Linked DNA regions of Styela clava. The protein of the gene in region 1 purifies or fractionates together with the protein of each later gene. This does not show direct contact. Links are inferred from orthologs where the notes say so. Each region holds a gene or a part of one and is shown on either strand. Other genes may lie near its edges.

Region 1 (7,623 bases):
ATCCGGACCTTTCGGGTATTCGATTCGAACCGCGCATAATTCCTCATTTTGAATCCTCAGCCCCACTTTTAAAATTTTCTTTATAAAATCACTTTTATAGATTTAAAAATATATATGAAAAGAACTACCTATAACGCCACAACAAACAAACTTGATTAGCTAATAATCATTAGTCAGCTGAGGAATTGCGTGTTTAAAGATGCCGAAATATAATTTCTGGAAAGTCCGGACCCAAATATTTTTGAAGTTTTGTTTGTATGCGCACCTTCGGTAATATATACTTGAGTAGCCCTGATATGAGTATGAACATATAAAATAGGATTATTCATAGCAAGGAGATTCAGATAATCTTTAATCATAGTCAAACTAGGCCTAAACTAGTTAGCATCTTGGCCTCAGGTTACCAAATGAAACCAGCGTCGGGTTGAAGAGAGACAAAAAACAACAGGAAATTTAAAAATAAGTTTTAGCAATAATATGATTGTAATATACAAGTGTTAATTGCATTGATATACCGCAACCAAATTATCTTGAACACGACTAGCTGTGGATGTTCAATAGAAAATTTGCTATAGTTAACCAAAAAGTCTTCCATTAAAGTTTTTGACCATTTAGCAACACGAGCTGGCTCTACAATTTTTTCAACAATGTCTACAAATAAGTCTCTCAGATCTTTAGTATGATATAGATCTGATGCAATTGTAGGAATAATACGACATAAAAGTTTGCAAGCTGCTTCAATACTTGAACCTCCTGCAGCAGAATTTTTTATTAAACACTCTTTACATTTATCCACAAGATCTCTATCAGATGCTAAAAACTTCACACCTCTGAGATCATGCAAAAATTCTCGATCTATATCTACGTTCATATCCAGAGTTTCAGACTCGGAATGACCATACGACCAATTTTCAATTAACACTTGCGAGCAAGTAATAAAATTATTAAGGGTCATATGACTCAGTTTTCGTTTTGTGCATTCAAATCTATGGTTTGCAAGAAACACAACAGTTGCATATGCCCATGATAAATCCTTGGGAAGCAAAAACTGTTTTCCTATATTTTCAACCAGTATTCCTGGTATTTCTTCAACAGCTTTAAAAACTCGCCTGCAGTTATCAAACTGTCTTATGCAGCTTCGTAAATTTATTCCAGTTTTATCTGCAATTTCATCCATGCTTTGATAAGTGTTTCGAGATAGTTTCTTTCCTAAAAGTTCACGTATGACAGTTTCATCAAATGTGTAATATCGTGTGATGAGTTCTCTCTGCATTTTTGGTGTCAGTTGGAAGGACATCTGATGACCAAGGCTAGAGGGTATCTTGAGATATTTTTCAAGTAATCCCAATGTTCGATATTGATCCAGAACATCGCTCAGAACTAAATCTGCAGTTACTGACTTTCCCTTTATCTTATGCTGCTTCACAGCATCTGTTGCAGAAACCCTGCGGAGCCATAAATCATATACATCCATATCAATAACAGTGTTATTGCCAACAAATATATCAATCTCTGGCTGAATCTCCATAATTTTAATCTAAATGACAATGAGTTACCTACTGTCAAACTATGCAAACAGAAGATCAATGCCATTTACATTGTACAAAATGCATATCAATCTGTCGATAGGCGATAGCTGGGTGAAAATCTAGATATCGAAATAATGCTAAAAAAAATTTTAAAATGGCCAATTTATTGTACTGGTGCAAATGTTGCCATATTGCTTATTGAATTGATAGGAACATTAGAAATACCACACGATACTGTTAGGGTACGGTACCTGTTTGGGGATAAATTCGTTATTACAGGTAAAATACATTAAAAAGACTGGAAATTGCTAATTTCCAATTTCTCCGAATTCATGAATTGGATCGATATAGCCTAGGGCCCGTTGTAATTAGACAAACAGATGACAACCAAAAATATAATTGGATCGATAACATATGGTAATTAGTATTCCAAACCCTAATGGAATCGATATCACCATACGCACATACGTCTGTACGTATAAATATGGTTTCAATTGGATATTTGAAAGAGAGGTACCGTTGAAAGGTCTTGTATTAGGAGTCGAATCGTCGTGATAAGTGCCGTCTCGTCTCTCGATGTTCTAATGTTGTATTCATCGTCTGTATTCCGTGTATATCCACAATATTAAACTCATCTACAACGTTCAACGTGTTCTTAATTGGCTAAAATGGTGACAACGTGTTCTTTATTGGCTAAACCTGCACTCTTCTTGAAAATTGAAACGATGCCAGTTATTGATATATTATCATTAATTTGATGATAAGCAGTGATATATACGACAGACCTATATCAGTTTTTTCAGACTTAATGATAAAAGGGAAACCAAATTCGAACCAAACAGCATCCGCATTCCAACAACTTCTTTTATTTTCGATTCTTGCGTTTGAAAAATCCCCAAATTATGGACAGGGAAATCCCCTACTTGCCAAGAGTTTGGAGTTTAGCAGGTGTCATATATATAATCGTTAGTTGTTTTTGAATGTTTAATTCAAAAAAATTGTTCGTTATAAAGATACAGAAAGTGACGAGACAAAAAACAGAAAAGTCTAAACTCATTAAGCGGTAACAATGGGAATGTTGGGAATTGCGGGAAATTTCACCAAAAAGCGGGAACGACGTGAAATCGCTCTATTCAACGGGTAATATACATTATAGTTAAAGTATGCGCAGACGATATTGCACTAAAAAGTAACAGCAACGGGAAATAGACATATGTGTGTGGAAGTACGAAAAATTGCACTCGGAAACGGGAACTATGAAAAATTTCACAAAAAGCGAAAACGACCGGAAATCGTTCTATGAAACGGCAAATATACATTTTAGAGTATGTTTAGCAAAACTGCACTGAAAAGAGAGAGCAAAATATACACATGGATTTGAAAGTACGAGAAATTGCACTAAAAAGCGGGAACTACAGCAATGACGGAAACTACAGAAAATTTTACTAGAAAGCGAGAATGGCGGGAAATCGCTCTATGGAATGGGAATGACGGAAACTACAGAAAATTTTACTATAAAGCGAGAATGGCGGGAAATCGCTCTATGGAATGGGAAATTTTCATTTTAGATAATGTGTAGGAGAAATTGCACTAAAAGGAGAGCAACGTGAAATATACACGCGAATGTGAAAGTACGGGATACTTCAAAAACACCTAAATACACTATTTTTTCACTCTTTCCGCCATTTCTCACTACTTTCATATTTTATTGCAATTTTCTGTTCAAAAACCGCCTTTTCCCACAATTTCTCAATACTTCCACATTTTAATGCAATTTTTTGTATGAAAACCTTTGGATACATATTTCCTGTTTTTCCGCAATTTTCTTTCTCGCCTGCCGCCTTTCTCACTACTTCCACATTTTGTTGCAATTTTCTGTATAAAAACCTCTAAATGCATATTTTCTGTTTTTTTCGACTCTTTCCGCAATTTCCTGTATAAAAATACTTAAATATATATTCCCTGTTTTTCAGAGATTTCTTTCCTCTTTCCGCAATTTCAATTTCAACATTTTTTTGCAATTTTTACACGAAACCCCTAAATACATATACTGTATACTGTTTTCAGCGATTTCCTTGCTCTTCTCGCATTTGCCGTCATTTCTGAATAGGGGCCTACTTTAATATTTATTTGCAATTTTTCGTATAAAAAAACCTAAATACACATTTCATGCTTTCTAACCAATTTTCTTACTTTTTCCGATCTTTCCGCCATTCTCAAATCTTCAGAATTTTATTGCAATTATTTATATGAAAACACCTAATCATAGATTTCCTTATTTTCCTTGTCTCCCAACATTTCCTAATAATTCTGCGTTTCATTCAATTTCTCCCTACAAAATACCTAGATAAATATTTCTGCAAATTCCACGTTATGACCGTTTTTTTAGGGAAATTTTCTGTAGTTTCAGTTCATTAGTAAACTTTTCGCTAGCCTATGTCCCGCGTTTTAGTGAAATATCCCGTATTTCACGCTTTAAAGCTTCCTGCTTTTTATTGAAGTTTCCCGTGGTCCCCTGAATACATATTTCCTGTTTTTCTGTGATTTTTACCTTCTTCCCGTCTTTTCTCAAAATTTCTCAATACTTATACTATTTTTCAGACTCTCAATATCCCTGCGGACCCCTGTGTAGTCGTCACGGAGTGACGTAAGTAACAGTGGATATAGAGGACTTGCACGGGTCACGTGACCTTGTTTACTGGACGGCAATAAAACAAAAACGTCCATTTGGCTCCTGTCAGTTGCAAGTCGGGTTATACGTTTCCGTTTTGTTTGGCTGTTGAAAATGGTTATTTCGTATTGTTCCGCTGGCTGTACGTATAGTATAGACAACGAAATGGATCTTCAGTTATATTCCACTGTTTTCAAAAGATCCGGAACGTCGCGCAATGTGGATATCATCTATTGGCAGGACTGCTTGGTGTCAAGTCCAGAAGCCATCTCACTTGTGTTTCACTGTTTGCGGACAACACTTCGTTGATGGTAAGTCATAATGTGCCGTTAGCAATTTTTTTGAATATTCATAAGCTCCCTCATTTCAATGGAAAGCAGATGACAAACTACTGTTATTGGTAGGCGTAGGCCTACTTGCAGAGTTGCAGACTTGACTCGTGTAAGATATTAATCAATAATTGCCATAAGGTATTGTTTCCCTAGTTAGCAGGTAATCTATTAGTAAGAGTGAAAAGTTGAATAGATAACTAAAGTTTAACGCCAGTGCTAATGCAAAAAATAACCAGAATTCAATTGAATTCTCCATCTAAGAATACGCTCGCCACCGCATCTCTGATCCCCCTGGGAGTTTCACAGGTTCCAATCCCATGCGGGGATAGTTATGTGTGAGGGGATTGCAGCTCTCCTCCCACTGAGGGTGGTTTACACGACCGCTGGTCGATTACGACATCCCCCACCATCAAGTCCATGCTTCTAAATCAAATAACTGGCTAACTAATCCCGACATAGAATGGTAATCGTACGATGTTGCACCTTGCAATCTGTCCCCAACCACAGATAAATTCTATCCTAAAAACTACCCACATTGGTAGGCATAGTTGCGTTTTAAATTGAAAGAAATCTTCATTAATGGTCAGAAGGTGTTGTCTGATTGTTTTGTTAGTTCGCAGGTAATTTATTACTGATCTGATACACAAACTTGGCACTGTCAAATGATGATTAGTGTTTAATTTATTTTCAGGAAAAAGGGAAGATAACCCATTATCAGCTGCTTATATGTCCCATCGATATTTGAATTTTCGCCAGCCCCAGAGAGGAAGAGAATAGTTAGAAAAAGGGGGATTTTGAAGAAAGGAAAAAGGCAGGACCATTTCAATAAATTCTGTTAAATTGTATGTGTTGCAATATTAATTTGCAGTTGTTAGCATAAACATTTAATGTGTCTTTCGACTAGACCTACCACACTTTAAAAAAAGCCGCCTACACCCCTTTTCACTAGAACCATAATACTGTAAAATATTTGATAGAAATTACCCCCGAGGCATCATATCTTCCATTTGAAAGGGCTGTGGAGGCAGATACATTTTTTACTCTAAATTATGGAATGTTACTTCCAGGTTATCTTATCCTTGCTTATAGATATCTTGAGGTTAGTGACTCCAACTGACCCATGCATGCCACACTGAAAATTCTCTTGTGTAGCCATAAAATAATAAGGCTGTTGGAGCCTTCAGACCTTGAAAACAGTCGAATCTGAGCACGATGGATTCATGTGAAACACGTAATATGCATTTAGAGGCAAAAATATCCCATCCTGAGCAGCACCGATCCACAACCTCCTGCCTATGGAATCAAAACATTAGACAAATTGGTGTACTGTGCGCATTCACAAATCTTTGCGAATCAATTGTGCCTTTTGACTAAAGAAAATTTAGCATTGAAATGGTCAATCTCAATATCAACCTAGTATCTGCAGATAAAACCAATTTTTTTTAAAAATACATTTTTGATGTGCTTTATTTTTCAAATATAATTTATAATTACTGTAAAGTGTGTGATACATTTGGTACCATGAATACCATTTGCAAATTAGCTTGGATTACACCCCTTTCAAATAAAAGTTTAGACTCTTAAGTCATATCTCATAATATTCTTTGAACAAAAGGTTGCGGCTAGCCGGCTACCCATCAGAATTTCCTTCCAGATCACAAAGTCGCAATATTACGCCTCGGTAAGTTTCATTGGCAACTGTATCTTGTTGTAGTATCGGTGTCCAACGTTAGACTAAAACCTTCACTACCAGACCCACCGAAACATTTTTTTTTTCTTGATAGGGTCGTCTTGAAGTTGCTTTCGTTAAAGCACAATGGACACTTTATCTCCACCAATCCACAGTAATCACAAGTTACTTTGTCATTACGATAAGCATCAATAAATGGATACTGAGGATGTATTATCAAGTCACGCAAGCTGAGGTCTTGTGCCACTGTGGTCTTGTTGCAACTTATACTTTGCCATCCATCTATTCCATTGTCGCACCCATATCTGTAAGATAATGGATACAGATAGAGTTTTCATAAAATCTAACGATCAAGGAGTGTGAAATTTAAGTCCATATCCCACCACAGCCACTAGTCGTAAATGAATTTGATTCCGGGTAGCATATCTTTTTTACCAATGACAATAAAAAGACATTTTGGATCAGTTGTACAAGCACCATTAGGATAGGATTTATCTGGGGAGGAGCCAGTTATTTGTTTTCAGAAGCATGGACTTGGATGGTGGGGAATGGTCGTAACCGATCAGCGGTCATGTGAACCACCCTCGGTGGGAGTAGAGCTGCAATCCTCTCGCACATAACTATCCGCGCGTGGGATTGAAACCTGTGAAACTACCAGGGTGATCAGAGAGGCGGTGGCGAGCGTATTCCTAGATGGCGAATCAATTGAATTCTGGTTATTTTTTGCATGACCACTGGTGTTAAACTTTAGTTATCTATTCAACCTTTCACACTTAGTAATAGATTACCTGCTAGTTAGGGAAACAATACCTTATAGCAATTGATTATTAATTCCTTACTGTCTCACACAAGTCAAGTCTGCAACTGCAAGTAGGCCCACGCCTAAGCCTACTAATAACAGTAGTTTGTCATCTGCTTTCCATTGAAATGAGGGAGCTTGTGAATATTTGAAAAAATTGATAACGGCACACTATCACCACATTATCACTCACCATCAACGAAGTGCTGTCCGCAAACAGTGAAACACAAGTAATATGGCTTCTGGACTTGACACCAAGCAGTTCTGCCAATAGGCAATAGATGATATCCACATTGCGCGACGTTCCGGATCTTTTGAAATCAGTGGAATATAAATGAAGATCCATTTCGTTGTCTATACTATACGTACAGCTAACGGAACAATACGAAATAACCATTTTCAACAGCCAAACAAAACGGAAACGTATAATCCGACTTGCAACTGACAGGAGCCAAATGGACGTGTTTGTTTTATTGCCGTTCAGTAACAAAGTCACGTGACCCGTGCAAGTCCTCTATATGTTAAATGTACATTTTTCAGTCGCTCAATATCACTGCGGACCCCCTATGTAGTCGTCGCGGACCCCAGTTTGGGAAAACCTG
Region 2 (7,146 bases), on another chromosome or scaffold:
ACTTAAAGCAGTTCATGTCAATGCAATCAGGGAAACAGCTATGTAAGATAGTGAATTCCATATAACTTAAGCTCTGAGAAAAGAATTTTGGAATGAATTTTTTTGTTTGGTAGCCTATCTTCATTGACAGCAACTAATCGAGTTTTAAGACTGAAAAGGGTCTTTTTGGAGTAAAAACTTTCGAAATTTCAGAAGAACTAGTCCATTATATCATCTATAATAGAAGCACAGTGATGCAAAATTTCTGTCATAATTTTAACATATATTTTCAAGCAACCTTTGTTCCTATTCTTCGTTGTAATTCACCAGAAACTTGAGAAAACAGTCTTTGTCTTGCTTCATTAGTTGCACGAGGAGTTCGTAGTTTATCAATCCATTGATATTCTGGATCTTCACTCACGACAAGTTCTTCTACAAATCCCTGTATTATTGATATTCTGTAGCATTCAGGAATAACAGTACCTGGGTAAAAAAAGCGTTGATAAAGCAACTGGCATAGGAAAGTATAGCTTGATTTTGAAAAGCTTCGCAACTAGAAGTTTCAGAAAGTTTTCAATGATATGTTCATTATGTGCGACTAAACCCCGAATTATGGTCATGCATAGAAGAGATTCAGAAAATATAGTATACTAACACTATTCACATCAGTCTAATGAATCAATTCAGGAATCTGCGCCTGGAATAAATTTCCATAGCAGAAGAGGTAAGCGAAATAGGAACCGCAGTTAATTGTATTAGTCTTACGTCTTTTGCTGTACGAGTAACCCAACCTACTAGCACTTTAAATTTTAATATTGATATATCTTGATCAAAACCACCATTTATTTATTTATTAAGGAACCATTTATTTGAACTTGCGCTATTGATTTGGTTTGTGCGAGACTGACTACTTATTCTTCTTCTATGCTTTTGTGCCGGTGGATCCGTATGCATATAATGCAAGGATGCTGTAGCAAGAGTAAAGATAACAATCCTAAGTGATTCAGGAGTCTTACTGCACCCTAACACAAATATATTTCTGTTGTATGTCTGAAGAAGTCTGACCTTGGTCAGACGAAACGTTACAGAAATATATCTGTGTTAGTGAGCAGCAAGATTCTTGATTCACTTAGGACATTTATTTGAATATGTAAAAAAATAGGTAAGCAAGAATACTAACTCACCACATATGAACTTGATTCCGCATGAGGATTTTTTAAATCTATTGAAGTCAGCGAATAGTTCAATTTTTACAGAAATCAATATCTCTCCTCTTATACCTAAAATTACAAAAATTTATAAATTAACATTTCATATCACTTCATTGTCACTGACAATATTTCAGCAATAAGCATAATCAAGTCAAAAGTTTTCAGTTATGCTTCCTCATTTTGTTCAGATGAGTTTTCTTCGAGAACATGCTTCAATATTCACCAATTACATTTTAATCGGATAAGGAAATAATATTCCATTGAGTAATTGAGAAATATTAGTAACAGATACTCACATTCCTAACACTTTTAATATAAACAAATCTCATGAAAATGATAAGTAAAAGAAATTATGTAGTTCTTGATATTAATAGGCTCGAAATTGCGGTGAGAAGACAAAACTTACGACTCTTAAAGCTATATCGTATATTTAACTTACCAAAACAACATATTCAACAAACCAAAATACATACAGACATACCATGCATTGTGTCATATATAGGAAACCATCCATGTAAAGAATTTGGAGAATCAGGAACTAACAGTGGATCAATATCAATGTAAATCTTTCCTATTGCATCATGAGAACTATATGTATCGTGGTCCAACACTCGTATCTGTAGCGGTTCATCTTGCAAATGCTCATCATCAACCTTGAAAAAGAATAGAAGAATGCATTCCACTTTCCGATTCTTCAGTTCTTATAATACAGTAATAAGTTTTTAATTACTTGTCTTTATCAATTATTCTATCATTTGTAATGCTGATTAAATTGGAAGATTATTAAAATACTGAAATATGAAAACCAGTTTCCCAGCTTTTTATTTCAGGGGGTGATAGACAATAGACATTTTGTTATTAGTGATAAATCACTTAAACCATGTTGGACAACAAAAATTGAATCTAAATGTATTTTAAAATTAGGATCACGATATATTTGGCCAAATAAAATGAAACGGTTTATTACCTCAAAAATGAACCATTCTGAGTTCCAAGAAGGATTGAGTGACTTTAAATAAACATCTGTTTTATAAGTCGTATTGCCAAATTTGACCTGTAAAAGAACAACGTCTCGAAAATTTAAGGCTGAGTATACGTTATCGGAACAAATTTATAAGTAATTCATGCTGCAGTGCTGTGGGTCCTGGGGTCTGGTATAGTTTAGTACCACATCCACTTCTAGTTGGCCTGGCTCAACAATTTTTGCATATGTCAATCCTAACCCCCACCTGACTACGTCACCGAAAAATTACGTCATTCCGACGTCACAGTGGCGTAATAAGGCTCACCGAAGTATGCGGATGGTCGTCCAAAACGCGCAGACGATAACCCGAAATCGAGCAAGCTATTTCTCTCGTTTTCTCGTCGCAACGATCACGATAGGAGAGAGATCGCCGGCTTTAGCAAGATGCCATTTCGGGCGATCGTAATTACTGAATTATACTTTGGCAATCCCTATGACGTGATGATGACGTCGTAGTGAAGTAATTTTTTAATGGCATAGTCAGGTGAGGGTTAGGAATAACATATGCAAAAATCGTTATGCTACGTCCACTGGAAGTACTTGTGGTACTAAACTATACTAGACCCTCATGCTGTTTTACAGGCAGACAGGTAACTTACCTCAACAAATGCATCAGTTAGTTCAGATGCCCTGTCCATAACAGGCAAGTGACGACCAGATAAAATTTTGACTTTGAGGCGACCTGGCATCTTATTAGTGCAACAGCCCAGTCAACAAATATAACTTTTTTACTGTAGTGTACCGGTATGTAGTCTTTACCTCTAATACTGTATTACAGACGTGATGATCACCTCTGTGAAGCTAGCAGCAAAACACGAAATTGTGACTGACAGAATCGCAGAAAATACCCACGCGTAAAATTAAATGTTCCCAATGATTTTTAAAAGAAAGTGTATATTTTGATTAGTTTCACAATAGCAATTAAGGCAAAACAATCATTAACTACACTCCTCGTATTGTTAATATATAGTAAACAAGCTAAAGCGACTGTTACAGTGCACAAAATTTTTTTATAATTTTTTGAGAGATATTTAAAAATGACTGAATTTTCGTCGTGTAACATGGTCGTTTCATGAAAACCTCCAATAAAGGCAGCATTGCAACACCATTGGTGAAAAGTAGAAACCTCAAAGATTCGATTTCATTATGTCAGAACAGTCTCAGCACGTTTTGACTTGATCATATATAATACTAAACATAGCGTATATTCTTCAATTTTTAAAACAATGTATATACAACAAATTTGAAACTGATTTTGTATTTCAACTAAATTTACTGGATAGTTCATCAAAGAAGATATTTTTCTCTTTGTCACACAACAATAATGCACTTCATTAAACTTAGAATAAGTTGAGGAAAGTCTAAAATACCGAGAAAAAATTTACGCCCTCTTGTGGATTCTTTGATAAATTTCACAAAATTATCGTTTTTGAAAGGGCGATTTCTCAAAAACCGCCAATAAAGGCAGCACTACGACACATTCGAAGAAAAGCAGATACTCTATAGATTCGATTTTAATATGTCAGAACAGTAGCAGCACGTTTTAACTTGGCAATACATGATACCAAACATAGCATTAAACTTGGAATAAGTGGCAAATCTAAAAATAACAAAAAATGATTTTACGCCCTCTTGCGGATTTTTTTCGGAATTTCAAAAAAATATCGTTTTTGAAAGAGCGATTTCTCAAAAACCGCCAATAAAGGCAGCACTACGGCACATTCGGAGAAAAGCAGATACCTTATAGATTTGATTTCATTATGTCAGAACAGTAGCAGCATGTTTTGACTTGGCCATATATAATACCAAATATAGCGTGTATTCAAAAAGTTATAAACAATGTAGACGTAACATATTCAAAAAACGTTTGGTATTTCAACTAAATTTACTAGATAAATTATCAAACATCTTCTTTTCTTGGACATACATATATACTGTACGTTCGAATAATTTGCGGAAAGTATAAAATACCAAAAAGCATTTTACGTCCTTTTGTGGATTATTTTCAAAATTTCAAAAAATTATCGTTATTGAAATAGCGATTTCTCGAAACCGCCAATAAAGGCAGCATTACGACACATTTGGAGAAAAGCAGATACCTTATAGATTCGATTTGAATATGTCAGAACAGTAGCAGCACGTTTTGACTTGGCCATATATAATTCCAAACATAGCGTATATTTTCAATTTTATTAACTATGTAGATGTGACATATTTAAAAACAGTTTGGTATTTCAACTAAATTTCCTTGATAATTTACCAAACATCTTTTTCTCTTGGACATACATATATACTGTACGTCCATTGAACTTGGAATGAGTTGCGGAAAGTATGAAATAACGGAAAATCATGTTTCGCCTTCTTGTTGATTATTTTCAAATTTTCGAAAAATTATCGTTTTTGAAATAGCGATTTCTCAAAAACCGCCAATAAAGGCAGCACTACGACACATTCGGAGAAAAGCAGATACCTTATAGATTCGATTTTATTATGTCAGAACAGTAGCAGTACGTTTTGACTTGGCCATATATAATACCAAACATAGCGTATAATTTTCAATTTTATTAACTATGTAGATGTAACATATTTAAAAACGGTTAGGTATTTCAACTTAATTTACTGGATAATTCATCAAACACTTTTCTCTCTTGGTCATACATCAAAACTGTATGTTCATTAAACTTGGAATAAGACGGCGAATCCTAAAATAACAAAAAATGATTTGACGCCCTCTTGTGGATTTTTTTCGAAGTTTTTGAAAAAATATCGTTTTTGAAAGGACGATTTCTCAAAAACCGCCAATAAAGGCAGCACTACGACACATTCGGAGTAAAGCAGATACCTTATAGATTTGATTTCATTATGTCAGAACAGTAGCGGCACGTTTTGACTTGGCCATATATAATACCAAACATAGCGTGTATTCAAACTTTTATAAACAATGCAGACGTAACATATTTAAAAACGGTTTGGTATTTCAACTAAATTTCCTAGATAATTTATCAAACATCTTTTTCTCTTGGACATACATATATACTGTACGTCCATTGAACTTGGAATGAGTTGCGGAAAGTATGAAATAACGGAAAATCATGTTTCGCCTTCTTGTTGATTATTTTCAAATTTTCGAAAAATTATCGTTTTTGAAATAGCGATTTCTCAAAAACCGCCAATAAAGGCAGCACTACGACACATTCGGAGAAAAGCAGATACCTTATAGATTCGATTTTATTATGTCAGAACAGTAGCAGCACGTTTTGACTTGGCCATATATAATACCAAACATAGCGTATAATTATCAATTTTATCAACTACGTAGATGTAACATATTTAAAAACGGTTAGGTATTTCAACTTAATTTCCTAGATAATTTATCAAACATCTTTTTCTCTTGGACATACATATATACTGTACGTCCATTGAACTTGGAATGAGTTGCGGAAAGTATGAAATAACGGAAAATCATGTTTCGCCTTCTTGTTGATTATTTTCAAATTTTCGAAAAATTATCGTTTTTGAAATAGCGATTTCTCAAAAACCGCCAATAAAGGCAGCACTACGACACATTCGGAGAAAAGCAGATACCTTATAGATTCGATTTTATTATGTCAGAACAGTAGCAGCACGTTTTCACTTGGCCATATATAATACCAAACATAGCGTGTATTCAAACTTTTATAAACAATGCAGACGTAACATATTTAAAAACGGTTTGGTATTTCAACTAAATTTCCTAGATAATTTATCAAACATCTTTTTCTCTTGGACATACATATATACTGTACGTCCATTGAACTTGGAATGAGTTGCGGAAAGTATGAAATAACGGAAAATCATGTTTCGCCTTCTTGTTGATTATTTTCAAATTTTCGAAAAATTATCGTTTTTGAAATAGCGATTTCTCAAAAACCGCCAATAAAGGCAGCACTACGACACATTCGGAGAAAAGCAGATACCTTATAGATTCGATTTTATTATGTCAGAACAGTAGCAGCACGTTTTGACTTGACCATATATAATACCAAACATAGCGTGTATTCAAACTTTTATAAACAATGCAGACGTAACATATTTAAAAACGGTTTGGTATTTCAACTAAATTTCCTAGATAATTTATCAAACATCTTTTTCTCTTGGACATACATATATACTGTACGTCCATTGAACTTGGAATGAGTTGCGGAAAGTATGAAATAACGGAAAATCATGTTTCGCCTTCTTGTTGATTATTTTCAAATTTTCGAAAAATTATCGTTTTTGAAATAGCGATTTCTCAAAAACCGCCAATAAAGGCAGCACTACGACACATTCGGAGAAAAGCAGATACCTTATAGATTCGATTTTATTATGTCAGAACAGTAGCAGCACGTTTTGACTTGGCCATATATAATACCAAACATAGCGTATAATTTTCAATTTTATCAACTACGTAGATGTAACATATTTAAAAACGGTTAGGTATTTCAACTTAATTTACTGGATAATTCATCAAACACTTTCCTCTCTTGGTCATACATCAAAACTGTATGTTCATTAAACTTGGAATAAGACGGCGAATCGTAAAATAACAAAAAATGATTTGACGCCCTCTTGTGGATTTTTTTCGAAGTTTTTAAAAAAATATCGTTTTTGAAAGGGCGATTTTTCAAAAACCGCCAATAAAGGCAGCACTACGACACATTCGGAGTAAAGCAGATACCTTATAGATTTGATTTCATTATGTCAGAACTGTAGCAGCACGTTTTGACTTGGCCATATATAATACCAAACATAGCGTGTATTCAAACTTTTATAAACAATGCAGACGTAACATATTTAAAAACGGTTTGGTATTTCAAATAAATTTCCTAGATAATTTATCAAACATCTTTTTCTCTTGGACATACATATATACTATACGTTCATTAAACTTGGAATAAGTTGCGGAAAGTA

The links.
Region 2: the proteins of acidic fibroblast growth factor intracellular-binding protein B-like (region 1) and C2 domain-containing protein 5-like purify together in Homo sapiens (affinity purification with mass spectrometry; 3 studies listed by BioGRID and IntAct, counting the BioPlex papers as one, with this or other methods). This does not show direct contact. The link is inferred for Styela clava from reciprocal best matches to the Homo sapiens genes FIBP and C2CD5.

Annotation. Positions count from the first base shown.
Region 1 is NC_135261.1:13,766,939-13,774,561, reverse strand, and holds the start of acidic fibroblast growth factor intracellular-binding protein B-like, read right to left. Parts: upstream 3,002-7,623; 5' UTR 2,047-3,001; intron 1,538-2,046; 5' UTR 1,529-1,537; coding exon 467-1,528; 3' UTR 1-466. UniProt on the Homo sapiens protein: May be involved in mitogenic function of FGF1. May mediate with IER2 FGF-signaling in the establishment of laterality in the embryo.
Region 2 is NC_135251.1:23,303,505-23,310,650, forward strand, and holds the start of C2 domain-containing protein 5-like, read right to left. Parts: upstream 3,010-7,146; 5' UTR 2,904-3,009; coding exon 2,814-2,903; intron 2,245-2,813; coding exon 2,158-2,244; intron 1,844-2,157; coding exon 1,672-1,843; intron 1,260-1,671; coding exon 1,164-1,259; intron 463-1,163; coding exon 278-462; intron 1-277. UniProt on the Homo sapiens protein: Required for insulin-stimulated glucose transport and glucose transporter SLC2A4/GLUT4 translocation from intracellular glucose storage vesicle (GSV) to the plasma membrane (PM) in adipocytes.